Saccharomyces cerevisiae S288C: one gene and its partner. Changing the gene in region 1 together with any one later gene gives a genetic interaction. Each region holds a gene or a part of one and is shown on either strand. Other genes may lie near its edges.

Region 1 (4,312 bases):
GTTGGTGAACTCTTAGCTCGGATAAACTGGGAGGTCTGCCACCGTCGATTCCAGAAACACATCCTGCGCCCCAGGCGCAAGACCCGTTCACATCTTCAACGTCGGTCAATTCCTTGTATGCGTTCTTATACCCCAATGGGACATAAATGACACCATGATGGACCAGAGTACTCATTGCGTTCATGATACACATTTCTGTATCACCCTTGCCGCTTATTGCGCCTGAAACAAACAAACCGGCAATTTTGCCATGGAGAGAACCCTTTGCCCAAAGCCCACCAGTATTCGAGTCCCAAAAGCTTTTCCACTCCGCGGGGAAGTTTCCAAACTTAGTAGGTATTCCGAATAAGTAGTAATCGTACTCAACCAACGTTTCTCTTGTTAGGATTTTATAGGAAAAATCTGCATTAGTTTTGGCGACTTTGGCTGCCTCTTTTCCCTCTTCTGTCGCATATTCAGTTTTATAGCTGACGTCTGGCACTTGGAAAATCTCAGCCTCACCACCAGCTATCTCTATACCTTTTTTTTCATTTTCTGCTAATGTGGCAATTATATCGTCCACTGAATAAATCAAAATAGCGACTTTCGGCATTATCTATGTGGCGTAGTATGTGCTTATAATAGTGAGTAGTATGCTGGAGGTCTTGATGTTCGATGTTTCTCGAGAAAAGTGTGATATAAAATGTGGTTTCTTTTTATTTCTTTTCTTTTCCGCTCTTTTATGTATTTTTGATTGTCCGCCCCTTAGGTGTTCCCTCCTTATAACTAGGCAACCAAAATGGAACGGCTATTATTCGATGTATAAGGACAAGTTTGGGAGCTTCGCTTCAATTTGCCCATAAGCGGTGTCATATGACGCTAGTTACATGCGCTGGATACGTATGCTGCATATATATAAACATATGTATATACACCTAGTGGAGAGGTTGTCGCTTTGTAGATTCCAGAGGAACATTTCCGTCTAGCACGTTTGGAATTTTGTAGATGCAGCCACCATTCTTGTCAGTATTGGTTCTTACAGCATCGTTGATTTCTGCATTGGCAGTGGTCACGAAGAGATCTTTACCAACAAAACAACAACATGAAACTCTTGGTGTCTGCTCCGGCAAAATGAACTCCTTCAGCAATTTTCCGTTAGTTAAATCGAACATTTGAACCTTACTGGTGGACCAGACAGTGATAAACAGAAACCCAGAATGTTTTCCGTCTTTGCTAAACCAAATTGCACTTCCATCTGGTTCAGGAGACTCAAAAGATTGATTGTTGGAGTTCTTCACGTCAATTAACTCGTCACGTTTTAGCAAGTCGCCACCAGGACATTTCCAAATAGTGAAGTTTAAAGAATCAGTCACGTACATCGTCTTTTGATCACTTTCATCCCAGTGGATCGCGTTAGGAATTAACAAGCAATTCCAAACAAGCTCTATCTTGTGAGCTAATAGGTCAACACGAAGCAAACACCCAATAGGTTCCAAATCAAATGGAAAATCGCTCATTAGCCCCACATAAATATATTTTCCATCTGGCGAAACGTTCCCATCATTAGATCTCAACTTATATGCTCTGTCTGTACTCAATTCAGGACATTCGGAATACAAAATGACATATTCCCATTCACTTTTGCTAAAATCCAATTTTCCTATGCCAAATTTACTACCAAATAATACTTGTTTGATTTCATTTTGTGAAGCCCCATCAAGTATTGGAAATATACAGCCCACGGATTCTTTTAATTCATCTGGATTGGGAGGGTACTCAATTGACGCATTCTTGCCATAATTGGCTCTACTAATGGAAAAAAAAGAATGACTGGATTCAGGCTGTTCTATGTCTTCGACTTTATGAACCTCTCCTTTAAAAATATCAACCCACAACAGTGTACCGGTTTCCTTAACGAAGGTTATTCCTTCACTATGTATGGCACCGGGAACGTGATAATAAGGTTTTAAATCATGCAAAATAATTTCTTCAAAATCGCCAACACTACTCATTTTACGAAAAGTGTCTAGTTGCTCAATGCATATAAACTTAATCTAAGAATCTTACAGGACATCTTCATATATGTCCATATGCTTTGAATAAGCATTGGCTTCCCCTTAAAGCCCGACCGGGTAAACTTTCACCTAGCTGTTCTTGGCGACCATTAAATAATTTTGAATGCATTTCTAGGAACAAAATCAAGTGCAAGCTACAGCTTTACAATTATAGAATCTGTTGACCAAGTAAAATGGATGAGAAAATTTACGTACGATTTTGTTCCTTATCCATTCAGCTTCTCAGTTAGTCAAGAGGTAGCTGTAGCGGCTTAACGAAAAAGGTATTAAAAAGGGACATACTTTTTTTATATCTTTTCCTTTGGCGTTCACAGTTACTCTTTTAGAACTCCTTGTTGTTGTGTAATGCATTTACCCATTCCCGATATAACTACCACTTTGGAGAACTGTAGACAAAGACCGCTCTTACTGAGTATACATTTTACTTTCGTAGACCGACTTTTAACTCTATTAGGAAAAGCAATTGACTTTTGAACTTCGATGACGATTGTGCAAAATACAAATCGTTTCAAGCGGTGTTCGGAATAGCTCACAGAAATGGCGAAGATATGTTGAAAAATACATACCGATGTCATTTGTGAAAAACAAAAACACAAGCTACAATTTGTATATTTACTCAATTACATATACCAATTGAGTAATAATTAAACAAGAAGGCAAAAATAAACTAAAGCAAAATAGTATACCATCTTTGGTTCCTGGACCACATTTTCTCTCAATATTTTTGAGATGTTTTTCTTTACTTTGTTTTAAGTAGTCTTTCCATCTCCCTTCAACGGAAACAAGTGCACGCAACATGTTATTTTCCTGTTATCCGCCCTGAGCAGTTTTCTTCCCCGGGTGGCAACCATTCTCCAACATTAGACAAACTTTACAAAGAAGACACCCTACCCGGTTGCCTCCAAAGCCCTTCTTTCTTAACGCGAGTACCGCTTTGGGAGGCCTCATCTTGGTTGTGTCCTCGTATGGCAGCATCTGCCATTGAGCGAACCCTTTCCCGTTTTACGCGCATGGCCTAGACCGATCTTTAGCAGACATGCCGAGTGAATTTACCTAAGATTTCTAAGGACTCTTCTGCATGTTTCCGAAAATCACCGGAAAAACCTTCGGTTTTTTTAGACGAAAACTAGGAAGTTGCTTAGCTTTCCTTGTCGTCTTCAAATCTATATGCCATCGGAAGAGAATCAGAAGAGAAGATCACGACTTAAGAGCTTTGCTGTTAAGATAGCAAGAAAGCTTGCCAATAGGCAGTTATGTAACCTAGTTTATCTACACCTTCTTTGATTAACTTAGCTATGTAGGCCGGTGTGTTTGTTCATATCACGGCATACGTTAACACAATGTAAATCTTGCTTTGGGTTGACTGAGGGAAATAACTATAGACATCACACCAATGGCTAAGGGATATTTCGACCTCGCTATGGGTTCTAAATGAGGGAATGGAAAAAAAGGGTAAATTGAAAACAACCTACCGATTTTGGTACCACTTCCGTGATTTTCGATTCTTCAATTTCCGCATAATTTGCCTCAAATAGGAAATCTGAGCTGTTTTTTTCTTACCCTCGAGTGGTCGTTCTGCGGACTTTTCTCCGGTCCAATGCATGAATCCCTTTAAGAAGCATGAAGAAAAAAAAAAATAGCCTCTTGTAAAAGCAAAAATGCCTTTCACTATTTCTGTGTAAACGAATAATTTCGTCATCTTAGTAGTTCACTGGATAATTGTGCTTTCCAATCAGATTAGTTAGTAAAACCCCTAGAAAATTTCAATGTTAGATCGGGATGATTCCTCATCGGGTTGTTGCTTATTCATGATCCTTTCAATTACTGGAAGCTTACCGAAAAGATATATAAAGAACCGAACTTATTCGGTTTACATGTAAGACAGTGTGTTAGTTATGGTTTTCCGCCCTTTTCTTCTCTTGTTTTCTTCGATATTTGTTATTAACCTTTTCTCATTTACGATTATATAATCAAGTGTCAAGATTGTGTCAGCAAATAACAGTAATATTCCAACCCGAAAAAAACTATCTATTTATCTTTGGATACTTTAACATAGACAAGAAGTCCTAAGAACTTACCATAATTTTTTTTCTAAAAACCCTTTTTTACTCAAAACTAATAGCTTATTCTGGTTATTTTTAATCAATCTAGAATTTTTTTCTTTTAATTCCAAACAATCTAATAACGTTTAACCACTAATTCTTTAATTATTAATATTTAATTTTAAAAATCTTCTAATTTTCCTGATAACTTAAAGT
Region 2 (4,611 bases), on another chromosome or scaffold:
ATCCGTTGGCTATGTTAAATTCAACAGTGTCTTCACAAATGATAAAAAAAATGGCAGAAATAGAAGGGTTCCATTATGAGGATACATTAACAGGATTTAAGTGGATCGGAAATCGTGCCATACTCTTGGAAAAGAAAGGCTATTACGTTCCTTTTGGATTCGAGGAAGCAATAGGCTACATGTTTCCAGCAATGGAGCATGATAAGGATGGTATCAGTGCATCCATTGTCTTCTTGCAAGCCTACTGTAAGTGGAAAATAGACCACAATTTGGACCCGCTAAATGTCTTAGAAAATGGCTTCAAAAAATATGGCGTGTTCAAAGAGTACAATGGCTATTATGTCGTTCCAAATCCAACTGTTACAAAAGATATATTTGACTACATCAGGAATGTCTACACTCCTGAGGGCGCGTCATATCCTTCATCTATTGGTGAAGAAATCGAAGTACTTTACTATCGAGATTTAACCACTGGTTACCAATCGGATACCATAAATCATAAACCTACTCTACCCGTCGATCCTACATCACAAATGATAACAGTATCTGCTAGACCAAGTAACGGTAGTGAGAATGAGCATATCCGCTTCACTATTCGCGGGTCCGGAACAGAACCAAAACTTAAAGTATATATTGAAGCTTGCGCAAATGAAGAACAAAGAGCCTCTTTCTTGGCGAAATTGACTTGGAATGTGCTGAGACGTGAATGGTTTAGACCAGATGAAATGAATATAGTTACAAAATTTTGATACTATTTTAACCTATACATTAAGACCAAGCGACTTAAAGAATGCCATTATATTTGTTGTTTGTACCTACACTTATATCAATATACATTTAACTAGTTTATGCCTCCAAACTTCTATCTTCAGATTTTCTGTGTCGATTCCAAAGGTTTTCAAGCATGTAAGTCACACTAATCACAACACCAAGAGAAGCGAGCCCAACTCCCAGATATACAGCTGCTCGGTAACCTTTCAACAAATCATTGCCGCTTTTATTAATTTGGTGTTCAACAGTGCCTCCCATACCTAAACATAGAGACGCTGAATAATTAATAACGGTGTTTACTAATGATCCAGCCATACCTTGATACTGCATTGGAAGCCCGTCACTCAATATAATGGATGATGCCGGGAAGGACAGGTCCATACCAAAACATAAGATAGCCTGCATCGCAAAGTTCAACTTCCAATAGCTTTGTTCCACTGGCAATACACTAAACATTATGGAACCAGCGTCAAATGCCATTAGTGAAAAACATAGTAGTAGAGCTGGTCCTAATCTCTTGATAGAAAAGGCAACGAAGAATGCAGCCATGGATCCGAAAATTACGAAAACGAAATACGTACCTCCGGTCCAAACAGGACTGTAATGCCTCAAATTTAGTTGGAAGGAAACATAATAGAATGTCCAAATACCAAACGACCCCCATCCCAGGAATACCGCCAATAATATCATAATCATATGACGGTTCTTCGTCATTGCACGTGGTAGAAGAGGAACCTCTGCGTATTTACTTTCGTAAACAAAAAAAGCAACCAAGAATATCACAGATATTATCAAAAGAACAATGATATAAGGTTTGTCCCAGCCAACTATTGGTGCTTGATTCCAGACAAAGTTGAAAAGAATCAGCCCGATAATGGCAAGCGCGGACCCAGTCCAATCCATCGAAAGCCCATGAATATTTGTGGGAACGTTGTTTGGGATGGAGTACCATGCCATTAATAAACTTAGAAACGTTGCAATACCAAAGGCATAAAATACCCAAGGCCACTGATTGGGGTCTTCAGTGACAATTAACCCCCCGAATAATCCACCAAACATGCCGCCTGTTGGAGCACATGCGCCGATGAAACTAATAACAATGTTCTTCCTGAATGAACCGACCTTATAAACATGACCAACAAGCCCCATAATATTTGGTAAAATAAACGCAATTCCAACTCCTTGGAACGCACGGCTCGTAATGAAAAACGCGTCGCTATTAGAGTATTTGGAGAGACCAGAAATTATAGACCAAACGATTACGATGACATAACCAACGATCAACATTTTCTTCAATCCATAAATATCTCCTAACCTCCCACTAATAAGGATGAACGACCCAGCAGCCAAGGGAAAAGATGCCATCAACCATGCCTGATTGTTTGCTTCTGAATTAAAGGATTTCGAAAGAACGTTCATTATACAGAGAGCGTGTGTTTGGCCCGCTTGATTCAATAACTGTGCCAACATGCATGTCGCTATGAACATTAATTCTTTCCCAAAGGAACTGAAGTAAGTGGGGTCCTGCCATGGTGAGTCATTGGTCACTTGAGTTGATTTGGTTGAAGAAACAATTGTTGTCACCTCTTCATCTTCTGTGGAAACCACTACTTTATCTTTTGCTTTCACTGTAATTTTCTCATCTATCTCAGAGTCCGTGCCCTGCACGCTCGTTTTCTTTTTGAAGATTGAAAACATTTCCAATCAGATCTTTGAGTTGTATGTTTGGTGTGCTTAGATTGGTTTCCAGAACTAGCCATGGTTAAAAGATCTATTTCCATTGCCTTATATACCTATTTTTGTCCAAGCCAAATGTCTCTGAGTATTTCCTCGAAAAACTGATATGAAAGAAAATTTAGTTCGTAACCATGGCAATACTATAGCATAATCTTCGTCATGCCATTGTTATCTCATAAATAAAACTCCTATAACAAAGCAAAAAAAGTTTACGCGTTCTACGGACATTTGTGTAGGAAAAATAAAGATTTTACTTAATCAATATACGAGCCACGTTTTTGGCGTCGCATTGTCGGCGCTATTTATGCGCACCCCTGTTGCCTTCTCTTCCCTTCCGTGCAGCCTCCGCGCTGTCAGATGGTCCTCCGGTAACGTAACCATGGGAACTAGCAAAAAAATTTCCTAATCTGAAATGTAGTTCCATTAATAAATCTGAGGAACATGGGCGCTGCATCAAGATGTGTTTTGGCGTCGTCTTTGTTATCTTTTCTTTTTTCCAACAATAAATTTGGCTGTTCATAAGGTGAACGAAAGCTACGGCAATTGCCCTATTAAGAAATTATACGTAAGAATGTTATTTGTTTCATGAATATTTAGAGGATTCCGTTTTGAATATATTACACTATGAAATAAAGAATTATTTGGCGTTTTGCCATTGGAATAAATCAGATACATTATCTGTGTTGGAACTTCCGCCACCAGAACTTTTTGATCGATCTGTATTGTAACGATTTTTCTGAGGCCGTCTTGGACCACGGTGGGACGCCGAGGGCCCTGAAGAGGTCCTTCTCATTTGAAACAGTGTAGAAGGTGTATCCAACTGGTTGCCAGTTGCACTCTTTGAGTTCTCTTGAGAACTACTGTCACCTTTTGAATCATTGCCCGATGAAAGAGATCTTTGATTGCTGGTATTTCTCGTACTTACGGAGGATACCATCCCTTGACTTAAAATTGAGTCGGTAGGATTCAATACTTCTCTGGCATTCATGCGTGACCGATCCAAGTCATCGTTAAATGTCGTATCTAGGATGATGCTGTTTTTACTTCGATTTGACGTAGTAGACGTCGTGTTGGTATTTGAGATATCGGGCGTATCCACTAATAAAGGAGCCAACCCAAGTGATGCATCTACAATGTAATCATAGTCGACCCCAGAATAATTGACATTTGTCATGAAATTGTTAAAATTACCTAAATCGTTGAAATCACAGTTGTCCATTCCATGCTTTGTACTTCCAAGGATACTGCCTTGGCTGGTATTACTGCCAGTTGAAGGTGGTTTGAAGTTGGCACCTGCATTTGTAACGGCTTTTTTATTTGTTCCCGGATCCGCTGACGCGGAGTTCTGATCATTTTGGTATAAAAAGTTGTTAATACTAATATTCGAGAAAGAATTATCGTTGTTCAGCAATCTCATTAGCTTTGTTAGGCTGTAGTTACTCTTGTTGTTGAAAGAGAGATTATTCTTTTCCATATTCGTACTTTTTCCTTTCTGATGAAATTGGTTGTTTTTTGAATTCTCAGGGTTTTGCTTAATAACGGGTTCTAATTGTTCCGGTTTAGAGTCCATATTATCCTTCATTAGATCTAAATTACTTGGTAGACTGAATATCGCATCCATGTGCATAGGCTTATTCTCAATCGTGTTTTGACCTATATTGGAGTTACCGGTCTGTAAGAATGGTGCCATATTTAAAAAGCTTAAGTTCTCTATATTGGCATCCGTGGCATCTGTAGAAGCTCTGTTACACACATCCACGTTGCCATTATTAGTATTCGTACAATTCGGTCCTTCAGGATGGGTGAACAGCGCAGTAAGGTCTGTATTACTAAACGAAAATGGAAACAGATTGCTGGTGGACATGTTTTTTTTGGTATCATTCTGGAAATTATGTGCGTTCTCCCCCTTGGATATACCGCCATCTTTTGCATTTCGTTTTGCATCTTTTTCATACTTTAATCTCTTATTACCATTAGTTGTATTTGTCATTGGAGAGTGACCCGCTTCAGAATTATTGTTATTATTACTATCGTTTCCATAAAGATACTCGTGTTCTGGGTTTTCTCTTTTGACATTAGGTGTTCTTTGTCTATTTTCCAGGC

The links. Genes that interact genetically often act in the same process or in processes that back each other up.
Region 2: mutations in YBR053C (region 1) and ATR2 together harm fitness more than expected from each alone (negative genetic interaction), as found in Saccharomyces cerevisiae (one large-scale study listed by BioGRID).

Annotation. Positions count from the first base shown.
Region 1 is NC_001134.8:338,761-343,072, forward strand, and holds YBR053C (regucalcin), read right to left. Parts: upstream 1,992-4,312; coding exon 915-1,991; downstream 1-914. Other genes in the region: RFS1 (flavodoxin-like fold family protein), read right to left, coding at 1-592.
Region 2 is NC_001145.3:823,883-828,493, forward strand, and holds ATR2 (Atr2p), read right to left. Parts: upstream 2,470-4,611; coding exon 847-2,469; downstream 1-846. Other genes in the region: phosphoribomutase PRM15, read left to right, coding at 1-749; DNA-binding transcription factor CAT8, read right to left, coding at 3,146-4,611.